Linked DNA regions of Pelodiscus sinensis. The protein of the gene in region 1 purifies or fractionates together with the protein of each later gene. This does not show direct contact. Links are inferred from orthologs where the notes say so. Each region holds a gene or a part of one and is shown in the gene's direction. Other genes may lie near its edges.

Region 1 (7,947 bases):
AAATGGCAAGAAACTGTTTTTTCTTTGTGATCTTGTCTGATATCTGTTTTGTGGGCATTAATCCTTTGGCGAAGTGTCTGAGACGTTTCTCCAATGTACATAGCAGACGGACACTTTCGGCACATGATAGCATAGATTATATTTCTGGATGCGCAGGAATGTGTGTTCTTGATCTTATAACTCACTTGGTTAGGTCTAATAATGGTATCAACAGAATGAATATGTGGACAAAGCTGGCAACGGGGTTTGTTACAAGAGAAGGTACCAGGGTTGGTATTAGTGTGGTATGTCCTGTGGTTGTTGGTAAGAATCATCTTGAGGTTAGGTGGTTGTCTATAGGAGACTATGGGTCTGTCTCCCAGAGCTTCTTGGAGTATGGTATCCTGTTCCAGTATAGTATCCTGTTCCAGTATAGGCTGTAGTTTATTGATAATGTGTTGGACAGGTTTAAGTTGGGGGTTGTAGGTGATGACAAGTGGTGTTCTATTGTTGGTTTTCTTGGGTCTGTCTTGAAGTAGATGGTTTCTAGGTATTCGTCTGGTTCTTTCAATTTGCTTTTTTATTTCTCTGGGTGGGTAGTTGAGGTTTATAAATGCTTGGTAGAGATCCTGAAGCTTCTAGTCTCTATCAGTGGGATTAGAGCAGATGCGGTTGTATCGAAGGCCTTGGTTATAGACGATGGATCGTGTGGTGTGTTCTGGATGGGAGCTGGAAGCATGTAGGTAACTGTATGAGTCGGTGGGTTTTCTGTAGAGAGTGGTGTCTAATTTTCCATTGTTGATTTGTACTGTGGTGTCCAGGAAGTGGATCTCTCATGTAGAATGGTCCAGGCTGAGGTTGATGGTGGGGTGTAGGTTGTTGAAATCTCTGTGGAATATCTCCAGTGTTTCTTGGCTATGCGTCCAGATCATAAAGACATCGTCGATGTACCATAGGTAGAGAAGGGGTGAAAGGGGACGGGAGTTGAGGAAACGTTGTTCTAGGTCAGCCATAAAGATGTTAGCATACTGTGGGGCCATGCGTGTACCCATGGCTGTGCCGCTGATCTGGAGGTATAAGTTGTTCTCAAACTGGAAATAATTGTGGGTGAGAACAAAGTTACATAGGTCTGCTATCAGGTTGGCAGTAGTGTCCTCTGGGATAGTGTTTCTAATTGCTTGTAATCGCAATGGCCCCACAGTATGCTAACACTCAGAACACTCAAACAATCTTACCCATTATCAAGATAGCTTCCCCAATTATCACCTCTAATACCATTAACTCACAAACATCCCACTCTCCCCACCTCTAGTATCATCAATTCACAGACACTTACCTTCCTTCCTCTCCCCCCCCTCCTCCCCCAGCATTCCCCTCCTGTTCTGAAATGTGATTTGTCCTTTTCATGTGTCTGTCTGTGTCTGTGTCTACATTGCACCTGAAGCTTGAAATAAGCCACGCAATTTGAGCTTTGCAAATTGCATCGCTTATTTCAAGTCAATTTTGAAATCACTTATTTTGAAATTTGGCAGTTTACACAGTACTTTTCAAAATAAATCACTATTCCAAAATGTCTCTTACTCCTCATGGAATGAGGTTTACAGGGATGTTGGAATAGCGAGCCTGTTAGATTTCAAAATAACGGGTTCACTCAAAAGCCGCAGAATACCTCCGGTATCCTGAAATAGCACTGCAGTGTAGACATAGCGTCTTTCACTTTCTCTAGACTTCAGTGGGAGCTGCTGGAAGCTTGGCACTTTTAAAAATCAAGTGACCTGGATGCCTAAATTACAGGGGGCTCATAAGTGTCCTATAGTTAAAACACCTGCAAACTTTCTATTTAAGAATACAGATGTAAGAATGTAGCTGTGTAAATGTGTAACAATAAGCATGAGCTTATTAGTTACCCAAATGGCTACACCCAGTTCCTGGTCTGGTTCTCAGGATACAGAGGCAGCAGCATGGGACAGCAGGTGGAAGCCAGTACATGTGGGGAGCCAACTTAAAAGCTGGGTCTCGGCACATGCCAGTTCCTAGGGAGCTGGCTGCCCTCCCCTCCATGTAACTGCTGAAATCAGCAGTTACTTGGTTAATCAGTTACACACATTTTAACATCCCTATTTTAAGAGTCACCTTTACAAAACGCTGTGCAATCCACACACCTATGAAGATTGCAATGGAAACTGGTAGACTACTTAAAGGATATGCATAGAATATCTGATGGGAAAATCAGAACAATCTGACAAGTGTCCTAAAGATATAAGTTCTCCAAAACCAGATCTGATTATTAAAATTACTCTGATTCTTTTTACCCTAAAATGTCAAGAGAATGGGAGACTGCAGAGTGTGCATGTAGAAAATCTGGCCTGAATTTCCCGCTTAAATTTCAACAAAGGTGAGAGTTTGGTTTAATAAAACTTATTCTTCAAGAAAGCAAAGTCTCATTCCTGAAAGAGAGAACATGTCGACACTATGAACTTTGGGCTTGAATAAATATACTAGTTAATGCACTACAAAGGCAATTTCCCCCACCTTTTGATATTCTCATTCCCACATCAAATGCTATGAATCGGATAAATAGAGCCTTATTTATTTGGCTTAATTAACACTAGTTCTATAATTGACAAGTAACTGTTTTTGCTGGATTCTGTAATTTCCATTCCAACTCATCTAATGAAGTGCATTTTACCCACAAAATCCTATGACCTAATATAATTGTTAGGCTCTAGGGACAGGTCTACACTAGGAAATTATTTTGAAATAACTATATTTGAAATAAATCCCAAATTAACAAAATCGAAATAGCATGGCCTGAGTTTGGGGAAGCTGCAAAATTAGTCTGAGGCAGGCTCCTTTATTGTGAATGCGCTACCTCAACTTAAGAGTCCCAGGAAGCACTGGGGAGTAATTACTTTGAATTACTTGGGGGAGTGGTCATTTCAAAATAGCAGTGAAGTGTTCACACTAACACTATTTTGAAATAACTATTTCAAAATAAGTGTTATTCCCTGAGGAAAGCAGGAGTTATTTTGAAATAACCAGCCCATTACTTTGAAATAATGGGCTTGGTAGTGTGGATGCTCTGCTTGTTATTTTGAAATAAGGGGAGTTAGGCCAGGACTAAGATGTCACAGGACTGCTTGTTATTTTTAAAAAGTTACAGAATACCATGGCTACCCCCCTGAAACTTTTTAGCTCACAATTGTTTAGGAGGAGCTCAAAGACAGACTGATGAACTGACCTGTCCATAGAGGGCTTGTCACTTGACACTAATGTCCCAGGTAAACAGTGAAGGCACTAGTTTGCCACAGAAATTCTCCAAGGATACTCCCAAGTACAGGCATAAGAATGACCTTAGCAATGAAGGCAAGTCTAGATCAGCTACTGCCTTAGAGCCACAAGCCCTTGAGTTTGGCTCTTCTTCTTACCTGTCTCCTCACCATCCATTTTGCCAACTGACTTAGTCACTTTGCATTGCAAAGTAGTGTGATTACTTTTATCCATATGGCCTCTTTGGACTTACCAGAAAACTATGGGCAGCATTCACATACAAATTATAAACCTGGCATACTTCTGACCATACATGCCTTGGTGCTTTGTGAACAGACTCACAAGGGACTCTGTGGGATTTAAGAGCAAAGATGATGCAGGGATTTAGCCAGGAAAAATGTAACTAGAACCCTGACTTCCACTTCACTCATCACAGCTGATACCCAGCCACATCTGTAGGGCAGGGTACAAATTAGGGAGGTTAAAAATGCAGTTAATTGGGATCAGCGGGGGACTCAGAGCCCCGCTCCCCCTGATCCTGGGCTCCATGCTATGATGCATGCTTCTAGGAGCCCAGGGCCAGCTGGACACTCCCAGCTGGTCCCGGGGCTCTCCTCTGCATTTCTTGGGGCACCCACACCATCCCACCAACTGAGCTAAGTTACACTGAGCTCAATGCAATGGTAGGGTTGCCAGGTTTTGAACCAGACAGTCTGGTATTTGAGCTTTCAGCACAGGAAACAAATTGAGAAAATACTGGACATATAAATGTCTGGTATTTTCTAATTAAGTAAGTTTTATTATTAAAATAAAAATATCAGTATGTAGTTGCATACTGCCTGGACGGTAGACACGCTCAGGCTGTGTAAGCATGTCTACCAGCCAGGCAGTACACAACTACACAGTCGAGAAGAGGAGGGTGGGGGTGGGATAGAATCCCAGACCGGACTTGACAGTGCGCCCTGCCGGACCGTGCACTGGATGGGCAGCACCCCAGGATCTGAGAGCACCTGGGCCAGCCCCACTCCCCACTGGCCAGTCCCCCCACCCCTCACAGCCAGCCCAGCTCCCCACCGGCAGTCCCCCCAGCCTCGCTCCTGGCCAGTCCCACCCCCCATCTGAGATCAACGGTGTCTGGTATTTTTTTGAAATCATCTGGTAACTCTACGTAATGGCGCAGCTGTATCCGCCGCCGCCCCCCCCAACACACAACCGCTGACTCTCGCCTGGGGAAGCTCCAGGCTGCGTGGAGGCAGCGGGCAGATCTCCTGAGCCGCGAGCCCAGCACAGCAGGAGGCGCTGCATCGCCCTGTCTTCAGGAGCGAGATCCCCCCCCCACCACCACTGGGCTCTCTCACGCAAGTTCAACCAGCCCAGCCTATCGCCACTCCCACTACGCACGCGCGGAGGGGGGGGGGGAGAGAAATTATCGCCTCGCGCAGGCGCACAGAGCAACACGCGTTCTCTGTGCATGGTCCAATGGCGGCGCTTGTCCTTACTGCGCATGCTCTGCATGCCGCACAATCAGGCGCTCCCCGGCGGCGGCCGTACGGCGCGCCGTGCCTAGCAGCTGGGGGTGGGGGAGAGTGGCCGCTGCTTCCGTCTCTAGCCGAGCGTGTTGGGAGCCGGGGCCATGGCGGGGGGCCGCCTGTGATCCCCGAAGCGCTGCAGCGGCTGGGGAGGGGAGCGCTATGGCCGGGCGGCGCGGCATGGGCGCGGCCGGCCCCTTGGAGGCGCCGGGCTGCGGGCCCGCGGCGGAGCCGGCCCGGGAGCTGTTCGAGGCCTGCAGGAACGGGGACGTGGAGCGAGTCAAGCGGCTGGTGCGGCCCGAGAACGTGAACAGCAGGGACACGGCGGGCAGGAAGTCCAGCCCCTTGCACTTCGCCGCAGGTACCGAGCTCACGGCTGCTCTGGTGGGCCCGGGCCTGCGTGGGAGCGAGCGCGCTCCGGCTGCCCCGAGGATCCCGCCCTTGGCCCCCTTCGTGTGGCGGGGCTTCGCTAGCTGCCAGTGGCCGGCCGTACGGGCTCCTGGTTCCGCACAGCCTGTCTCCACTGGAGGGGCCGTGTCTGCGCTCTAGTGACGGGCCTTGGGGGTTTCTGCCCTGTCCCCCTTCACTTGTGCCCTCGCCAGCCTGGCGATCCGCCCTGCTTGCCGGGCGCCGAACACCGTTTGGGGGTTGTGAGTTGAAGGGAGGATACGGCCGCTGATTAGGTGGAATAACCTCTGAATAAGGTGCTGGGCCAGGACTGGAGATTTGGGTTCAGGTCTAGGCTGTGTTTCCCAGACGTCCTGTGATCTTTGACAAGTCCTTTGAATCTCGAGTCGTGCTGGTTCCCTTCGTGTAAAACTGAAGTCACTGTTTACAAAAATGTGAGGAGAGACTTTATGTACTATATTGAGTAGGGTATGTAAGTGTCGAGACTGAGAGTTAAGGGAAGAATTACCTTATCTCATGTTGATTTTAAAGTAGTTACTGAAATTTGACAGTTGATCCTCTTGTATCTCTTCAGGAGCAGACCTGGCTATAGGTGAGCTGTCCATATACTTGTGTTGACTCTTTGCTTGCACATGACAACTCATTTTTAGAGATATATGCTCATTCTGGACATGGTACAAAATGTAATAGCCCATTGTTTGCTTAACGTAGGTCATTGTGGATATATAGCCTTGCTGTTCCACTTTTGGTTCAGGTTATCCATTGACAGGGCTTGACAAGTGGCAGCGAGCCCCGCTCGCAAGCTGCATGGTTAATAGATGCCTGCTGAAGGCATTTCTTCTCATATTCATAAGCCTTTGTGGGGTTAGCCATAGTTTTCTGAAATTCTCTTGCAGGATAGCTTGGTTCCAATGGACCTGTGAAACAGTTTATCTGTTAAAGTGAAGCTTATGAACGCATGAGACAACTTTAATAGGCTATGGAACTCCTGATGCTTTCAAAACCTAACGACCAAATTCACTACTTTCAGTGACTTTTTTCCTCAATAAGATCTTGCACCTACAATTGATTGACAAAGTCAAATTCCTTTGTTAGCCTGTCAAGTTGTTTCTACTACAAGCTTGAAAGAGACTTTTCTATTTTAATTATTGAAGGGACACTTGCAGTATAGTCCCTCTAAGTGCCTTCATAAGAATAACCTTTTTCAGTATTGCACAATAGAACTTTCAAGGTCTGAATAACCTTCAAAAAAAATCACACTACTTCTATAGGATTGAATTCCAAATAGAAACAGACATACAGGCAGTCCCCGACTTACGTGGATCCGACTTATGTCGGATCCGCACTTACGAACCGGGCTTTCTCGCCCCGGAGCTCGCCGGCAGCGATCCGCCACCTCGACCTCCGGGGCGAGAAAAGCTGCTCCCGGTGCCCCTGGTCTGCTGGAGACTGTCTCCAGCAGACCAGGGGCACCGGGAGAGAAGCCACAGCAGCGGCCCCAGGGTCCACAACAAAAGCCTGGTCTGCTGGGGGGGGGGGGCACACTAGCTGCGCCCCCCCCCCCAGCAGACCAGGGACATGGGGAGCAAAGCTGCAGCGGCAGCGGGGTGCCGCGCCTCTGAGGCTTTGCCCGAGCAAAGCCTCAGAGGCGCGGGACCCTGACGCTGCTGCGGCTTCGCTCTCGGTGTCTCTGGTCTGCTGGGGACCGTCTCCAGCAGACCAGGGACACCGGGAGCGAAGCCGCAGCCGCGACAGGGTCCCGCGCCTCTGAGGCTTTGCTCGGGCAAAGCCTCAGAGGCGCGGCACCCCGCTGCCGCTGCAGCTTTGCTCCCGGTGTCCCTGGTCTGCTGGGGGGGGGGGGGGGGGCGCAGCTAGTGTGCCCCCCCCCCCCCAGCAGACCAGGATTTTGTTGTGGACCCTGGGGCAGAGCAGCTGGAGCGCTGCCGATTGGTCCTGCAGCGCCGCTCTGGGCACTACTGGACCAACGCAGCAGCACCCCAGCTGCTCTGCCCCAGGCATCCTGATTCAGCCGCTGCTGAAACTGACCAGCACTGACTACAGGAAGCCCGAGGCAGAGTTGCTCTGCCCCAGGCTTCCTGTAGTCAGTGCTGGTCAGTTTCAGCAGCGGCTGACTTGGGGACGCTTGGGGTTCTTAAGTTGAATCTGTATGTAAGTCAGAACTGGCGGTCAGTTTCAGCAGTGGCTGAATCTGGATGCCAGTTCCGACTTACATACAGATTCAACTTAAGAACAAACCTACAGTCCCTATCTTGTACGTAACCCGGGGACTGCCTGTATTTGAGGTGGTGTGTGCGCAGTTACATAGCAAAGATATTGGCAGTAGTGGGTTCCATATTCCTCCCTTTGCTTTCTGAATACAGTTACTAATGTCTCCCTTCCTAAAACTTCAGGATCTTTCTGGCAGACACAAAGACTTGTTAGCCTCTCCTGAAAAGATATATATCTGCCTTCCCTTGGATGGAACTTTTCTATTATGAATGGAAAATGAAAAAAGAGTACAGTTGTAGCAAACTTTTTGTTGTTGTTCCATTATGTGAATAAGTGATACTTTGTCTTCTAACTCTGGAGGATTACCAGATTACTGATAATAGGAGACTACCAGGAAGTGGTAACAAAGAATTTGTGCTATAGTTTGCACAGCAGAACCACTGAGAGAGCCTAGGCATGCACACCTTTGTATTTATGTATGTACTGGGAAATCTTTTTTGTTCAGGTTAATTCAGTTCTGGAGAAATGTGCT
Region 2 (7,532 bases), on another chromosome or scaffold:
AAACCCGAGAGAATAAATTAGAATTTCAAAACAAGCTGAGAGAGACATATAAATGGTGGTGATTTCATATAGGGTAGATAGATAGATAAACAAATAGAGTTGGAAAAAAATTATAATCAGAATAGATATACAATGGGAGACTTCTATTCAGAAGTAATAATAAAAAAGACATGCAAGATGTAATGAAATGTTAACACAATCTAAGCTTATTGGCAAAGGAAGATGCTATTTGAGAATCTATAATCTATGGTCCGGGAGTGAACATCATATTGGCACACTGAAGGATTGGTATCTAAATGAAACAGTGCCATTTTACACATCCTCAATCAGTTTCCAGCTGAGAAGGAACACATGGATTTTAATACAATTTTGTTGGTAAAAGCATAATATGTCTGATTTTTAACTTACATTTAACTTCTTACAGTTTTGTTCACATTCACAATGTGTAAATAAACCAATTTTTGAAGTATATAAGATTTAATGTGAGTTAAAATTTATAAACAAAAAACAAAACCCTCAACAGTTAGGTTGTTGGTGTGTAGAGCCCCCTGCCGTTCATGCTAACCAATATTGTAGCATTGTCTTAAGCAACTGGTAAAAATATTCTCCTTGGGAGCTGAGTAATACCATTAGGCTCTGATTTCTGGAGGGTTGCTGTTTCTAACCCAGCAAAATGTGGAGGGACTGCTCGGAAGGGGAGGTGGACAGTTGGGGAATGAGGCTGCCCACACACACCCTGAAGAGGCAGCTTCAGTTGTCCTAGGATGGGCCTGGCTCTCTGTTCCAGTCTATAGGCTCTTGCCACTTGTGTATTTCCACTGGAGCCGGCTCCTCTAATAAGGGGGGCAAATCATCAAAGCACCTCAAGAAGACAAGGAAGAGGGAGAGAAAAGGGAGAAAGTCACCAGCCTCACAGCAGCAACTGGGGGCATTGGGTCAGATCTTTAGCACAAATGGTGGTTGAAAGCAGGAATGAGAACTTGGGGAGGGGAGCAGTGCAAAGGGCAAGGGTGAAAAGTAAGCTGAGAGGGAGATCATGTGGAAATTGGAGGAATAGGAGAAGTTTTAAAAAGTGGATTTATTGGGGGATGGGGTTTGGAGGGATGGTAAGCTGTGGCAGGAGATGATTTGAGGACATGAAGGGGGGGGGCTTTAGGGAGTTGAGAAAGGGTTTCATCAGGGTGTTCAGCTTCAGCCAAAGGTAAGTTTATTTGGGGATATGGGAGTTGGCATGGCAGGGAGTTGAAGGCTGTGGCAGGAGGAGGTATGTACAGGTATATTTACTTGGGGGCAGAGTAATATGGATGGATTTAAGTGGTAGTTGGGGAGCTAGGTGGGGCATTATTTGCAAGTTGGGTGGGAGGCTGTTGGGGAGAGGTTAAGGGGAAGTGTGGGAGAGAAGTTATTTGGGATCTATGTTAGAAGCAGGTTTGGATGAGGGGGTCTGGAGCTATGAAGAAGGAAGTTTGTGACAGTGTTGGTGGCCACTGGCTGTATCTGGTGACTCTTCTTTGTGGCCCATGCTCTCTCTTATCTTTTGCTTGTCTGCCTTCCTCCCTTACTGACTCCAGCTGTGAGCACCAGGTAGGGATGGACTTGCCACTATACTAGGATTGGGACTTGCTTGCTGGGCACTGACCACACTCAGGATGGATTCTATCTGCAGTACCATGACAAGGTGTCATGGATTCACCTCACCATTGGGCTCCAGGGACTTTCTCTGCTTGTCCTGCTGCTGCATAGCCAAGCAACTCAGCACCAACCTGGCCTTAGCATTACCAGAGATGGGCTTTTTGCTGTGGAGCTGGGCTGCGCATTGTTTGCTTGTCCTCCCCCATAAATATGTCTGTTCTATATGTTGTCTCCTCTTAGACAGTAAGATATTTGGAGCAGGGTCTATCTACTGTACAGGCCTAGCACTATAAAGTATTAATCCAGATCCGTGGTGCTGTCACAATAAAGAGAATAGAAATAAATAGTACGCCAACAACAAAAAAGGATAGCCTCAAAGGTGTATGAAACTGCTCTTTGTGGTATTGTATAAGACCTATTTTACATCTTGTACACAATAAATAAAATTTTCTATTAGGAAAGTTTGTTGATTCACTAGAATAAATCACCTTTCCATTCTCCTTTTCATATCTGACAATATATGGACCTCAACACTTTTATTTCCAGGCCAAGGCTACAGTGTATTATTCTAGGTATCTAGTTTTGATATAGTCTGATATAGCATATAATCTAAGCACAGGAATGCTTGTTTTATAGTGAGGGTTGAGATATAGTTTACATCTCACAGTGAGTCTTAAGGGGAGACCCAGCACCGGCATTAACTGTTATGGCTCCTCCACAGATGCAATGGGACCAGAACTCATTTCCTTCTGTTGCAAAAATAGCACGTTCCTTTTGTAATCTGCACTGCAGGACAGTAGAGTATGACTCATGGCAGGATGCTCGGCCATGGCAGAAGCAGCTAATACAAACACACACACGTTTGTCAAAACTTAAAAAACAAATTATCCTACAGCCAGTTCAGCGGCGTTATGATACAATACTGCCAACAAGTGTGCAAAAATCATGAGCCACACACCCCAGCAATCTTGGCTATGATTTAAAAATAATTAAAAAAAACCAATACATTTTAGTACTTTTTATTTAGTTGTGGGGCCATTAGTGTGCTGTCATGCTGTGTTTTGAAGCTATTCTTTGCAACTATAATGGCTAAAAATTACCTTTTTAATGGAAGTTGAGATTATCACATAATCACTTCAGTCAGGGAACTGGGGCTTTATGAAAGCCAGCAAATACTGTGACACTCACAATCAAATTGTGTTAGGATGCACAGCAGGGCTCAACCCATGTTAGTTAAAGCACTGCTGATTTTCATTGTGCAGTATAATCGTTAATGAGTGTGGTGACACCTACAACACTAACAATTTCAGGCATGTATAAAAAGGGTAGAGAGAAGGTACAGTAAGTTTACCCTGGATGTTGCACTGGTGAGAACATAAGAATGGTTATACTGGATCAGACTAGCTACTCATCTAGCCCCAGTATCCTAGCTTCTAACAGTGGCCAATGCCAGGTTCCCCGAAAGAATGAACCAGTAATCGTCAGGGCTGTGTCTACATTGGCAAGATTTTGCACAAAAGCGGTTGCTTTTACATAAAATCTTGCCACCTGTCTACATTGGCCGCGAGTACTTGCGCAAGAACACTAACGTTCTAATGTATGAAATCAGTGCTTCTTGCGCAACTACTCTTGACGCTCCCGCTCAGGGTTCAGGCAACGTTAATTACTTGTGCAAGAAAGCCCGATGGCTAAAATGGCCAGCAGAGCTTTCTCATGCGAGAGCATCTACACTGGCACAGATGCTTTTGCACAAAGGCACGTGCCAGTGTAGACGCTCTCTTGCGCAAATACTTTACGCAAAAACTTGTGTTAAAAGTATTTGCGCAAACTCCTGCCAGTGTAGACGTAGCCCAAGTGATCCATCCCGTCACACATTCCCAGCTTCTGACAAACAGAAGCTAGTGACAACATCCCTGCCCATCCTGTTTTTTAGCCATTGATGTACCTATCCTCCATGAACCACTACTCTTTTTTGAGGCCTGAAATAGTCTTGGGCTTCACAACATCCTGTAGCAAGGAGTTCCACAGGTGGACTGTGTGTCGTGTAAAAAAAAAATACTTTCTTTTGTTTTAAACTTACTGCCTGCTAATTTAAGACCCATACTGGAACACTGTGTACAATTATGGTGTCCCCCTTTTAAAAAGGAAAAGATTGGAGAGGTGCGCAGAAGAGCCACTAAACAATCTGAGGGCCAGGAAAATCAATGTCTTACAGTGAGACGCCTAAAGAGCTCAATGCTGGGTCAGACCAAAAGGTTCTGGCCTAAAGAGATTAATGTTGGGTCAGCCCGAAAGGGCTCAATGGATTTTAGCCCATCACAAAGACCAGGGTGCACCATAAAATCCCAGCTCCGATCCAAAGAGACGCTCTAGTGCAGCGGCAGGAGCCAGGCGCAGGCAAAAGGAGGGCTCTTTTTTCACAGGGCGGGTGGGGGGCGAGTCACCACTGACGGGAGGTAGGTGCAGCGGCGTCTCCGCCTCGTGCTGCTCAGCGGGAAGATTTGCTTTCGCCAAACGCGGGCGCTGGCTGCAGGGCTGAGGTCGCCGCCCGCGAGGCCCAGCCTGAGCCCCCCCGCTTGACGGCTGGAGAAAGCGAGGGGGGGGGGTGTCGAGTTACCGCCGCTGCAAACCACGCGGGGGCGCTGGGTTTCCGCGGCGCAGGAGCAGCCGGGTCTAGGCTGCGGGGGCGGCCGCTAACGCACGTAACGGCCGCCCCGCAGCAGCCCCCCCCCCAAGCCCTGTGGGCGTTCAGCGGCCGCACAACAGCCGCGGGTGCCTAAGCAACAAGGAGCGCGCGAGTGAACACGCGCCGCAGGAAGGCGGCTGTGAGTATTATGGGCTGGAGAGGAGGTCTCCGCAGACAGGCACCGCGGAAGGAGGGAGGAGCTATTTGGGCGCGCGCCAGTAGCGTCTCGGTATCGACACCCCCTCTCGGGCTTCCCCCGTGGGAGAGTGTCTGACCGCTCCGTTTTGCCCCTCCCTCCACTCTCGTTCCCCCGCCCCTCTGCGCCCTGACGTCGTCGCGTCTCGCTCTCGCGACAGCAGGTGACGGCGGCTGGGGCGGCGGTTCGCTCGCTAGCCCAGCGGCGAAGACACGGAGCAGCGCGAGCCGGGCCCGCGGGTGAGTCCGTGACGCCGCCGCGTTCTAGAGCTCGCCGCTGGGAAGCCAGGGGCTTACGCGCGCGGGGAGGTTCCGCTCATTCTCCCCGCGGCTCCCGCTGGGGCCTGCCCGCCTCGGGGCTGGAGCGGAGGCCGGACTCGCTGTGCGAGGCTCCGGACAAAAGGCCACAGCGCCCCCCCCCCCCCCCCCCCCCCCGGGGCGGTAGCTGCCTGTGGAGTCCCGCCCATCGGGCCAGGGCCCGGAGCCCCCGGCGGAGTGGGGCTGTGTTGTGTGGCAGCTGCGTAACCCCCGGTTACATGACATCGGCTGCCCCTCCCCCCCCCCCCCCCCCCCCCGGCTGGGACTGTGCTTATTTATTCCTTCCCCCGAGCTCAGCCCGCGATAGGGACCAGCCTGACCCGCTGGGGAGGGGCAGCGCCTCGGATCGGGGAAACTTGGCCCGGCTCAACATTTTTGTTTTCTTAAAAATAAACCGGCAAACTTAGCAGATTTGTAACTCATCCAAAGGGTTGGATCGCGCTCGGGGGTGTCCCTTGGGAGGTCGGCAGCCCAAAGTGGGCTGTGATGAAAATAGGCTTCGTAGCGTTTTTGTATGGTTTGCCCAGAGGTCTGTTGCTATGCATATTTTTTATTGACTTAAATGTTCACGGTTGTGGGAAATAATTGATTGTTTGGCCACCTCTTATTGACAGTGGATGTTGTGATTCAAGAAGGTGAAACACAAATTGTCAGCATCACATATCAAAACATACAAACTACCTGTCTTCCAGTCAAGCTTTAATAAGCAGTATTTTTCTTCTGTCTTCATGTAAATTTTCATTTTCATTGATGGACATATTTTTTCTTGGGTTTAGGTGTAAATGAAATTGATGTTTACCAACATTTACTAATATACATATTATATTTCTAAGCTTAAGTATAAGTAATATCAAATATTTGACATTTTATATGAAGTCTTACATTCAAATTTCTTTTAATACCTTCACACATGGTTGTTTTGTTTGACTATTTTGTTCGACATATTTGTAGTGTTTTCCACAGTTTCTTCTGTTGTTGGATATTTTGAAGAGTTATTGGAGATATATTTGCATGTCAATTCTTAGTTAAGGATGTAACAGTATAACTGTTTATTAACTGATAAATATGAGCTTATTGTTACCGTAACAGTTACATGCCAGCTCCCAGCCCCGCTGCCACCGTGTGTTGCTCGTTCAGAGCCTGCAGCGCAGGGTGGCAGCTGGCTTCCTGGGAGTGGGGCCGGGATGTGCTCAGGAGCCACTGTGCTCGGGAACCGCCTTTTAAGAGCACACTGGGAGCCAGCAGTGCATGGTGACAGCCAGCTCCACAGGAGCTGGCATGTAACTGTTACAGTAACAATAAGCTCATGCTTATCAAATACCTGTTTAAACAATTATATTGCACATCCCTAATTTTAATGTTTTAAATGTACAGTATTTTGTATACCCTGTTATCAAATGGTAAATTACATCAGAAATGTTTAAGGTACTTGAGGTCTAAAAAAGTGCTCACACTTTTAGTGATTTTTTTTGGGGGGGAAGGGGAGAGAGGAGGTGGAGGTAACTGACAGTTGGGCCCTTGGATTTCCTTGCAACACTTTGTGGCTACGTCTACACTGGCCACAATTTCCGGAAAAGCCACGCAAATCAGGTAAGTCAGGATAGGGAAATCCGCAGGGGATTTAAATAAACATGTCCGCTGCTTTTTTTCCGGCTTGGGGAAAAGCCGGAAAAAAAGCGTCTAGACTGGCGCGATCCTCCGGAATAAAGCCCTTTTCCGGTGGATCTCTTATTCCTACTTCGAAGTAGGAATAAGAGATCCACCGGAAAAGGGCTTTATTCCGGAGGATCGCGCCAGTCTAGATGCTTTTTTTCCGGCTTTTCCCCAAGCCGGAAAAAAAGCGGCGGACATGTTTATTTAAATCCGCGGGGGATATTTAAATCCCCCGCGGATTTCCCTATCCTGACTTACCTGATTTGCGTGGCTTTTCCGGAAATTGTGGCCAGTGTAGACGTAGCCTGTGTGTTTAAATGGAAGGTGAAGATAGACCAGTGGCCCAGTTTTCTGGTACAATGAATAGATAAATAGCCTTTCCACTGAAATTAATAGACTACTAGGGCTATCGGGTAAATATAATTTTAATCTTAAAAGCAACCTATATTTGTATGATCCAAGAAATTGAAAGCCTGTAGCTCACAATAAAGAGAATTAAATGTGTTAACTCTTTTACTGAATTGTATGATAATTGTCTTATCCTGTAGACTGTAAATTGTAGTTTATTTTATTTACTTGTCTGGTAGAGTACATTCCAGAATATGTAGTAATTGTTAGAAGGAATAAGATACAGAACTTATTTTTGTGCTTCTCAAATTTGATATCTTAAAGGAAATACTGTAGTTTGAAAATGCACACTGAGGCAGCAGTAAAGTGTTGATAGTTGACTGTTTAAAACTAGTCTTTGGAACTACTCTTTAAAATGGATTATTGAGATGGAGCATTTGTCAGATAGTATTGAATTAACAGTGAAACCTGAATATTCATTTAGTCAAAATGATAGTAAATCTGACTTTATGTACAACTTTTGGAGCAATTTAACCTACAGTTTGTTGGACAGAACTAAACTGCTAACAATCAGAGTAGTTGTAAGAAATAAAAAATGCTACTTTGACTCAGTTGATATGGTGCAGAATCTGTGCTGAGTAAAGGAAACTGCTTTTTTTACTTAATGTGTCAATTGATGAAATATGGTTTAACTTGCATC

Evidence for each region.
Region 2: the proteins of TNKS2 (region 1) and E3 ubiquitin-protein ligase RNF146-B purify together in Homo sapiens (co-immunoprecipitation; 3 studies listed by BioGRID and IntAct, with this or other methods). This does not show direct contact. The link is inferred for Pelodiscus sinensis from reciprocal best matches to the Homo sapiens genes TNKS2 and RNF146.

Annotation. Positions count from the first base shown.
Region 1 is NC_134718.1:40,945,760-40,953,706, forward strand, and holds the start of TNKS2 (poly [ADP-ribose] polymerase tankyrase-2), read left to right. Parts: upstream 1-4,773; 5' UTR 4,774-4,940; coding exon 4,941-5,139; intron 5,140-7,947. UniProt on the Homo sapiens protein: Poly-ADP-ribosyltransferase involved in various processes such as Wnt signaling pathway, telomere length and vesicle trafficking.
Region 2 is NC_134713.1:90,563,966-90,571,497, forward strand, and holds the start of E3 ubiquitin-protein ligase RNF146-B, read left to right. Parts: upstream 1-4,300; 5' UTR 4,301-4,457; intron 4,458-4,513; exon of another isoform or gene 4,514-4,753; intron 4,754-5,118; exon of another isoform or gene 5,119-5,360; intron 5,361-6,764; exon of another isoform or gene 6,765-7,532. UniProt on the Homo sapiens protein: E3 ubiquitin-protein ligase that specifically binds poly-ADP-ribosylated (PARsylated) proteins and mediates their ubiquitination and subsequent degradation. May regulate many important biological processes, such as cell survival and DNA damage response.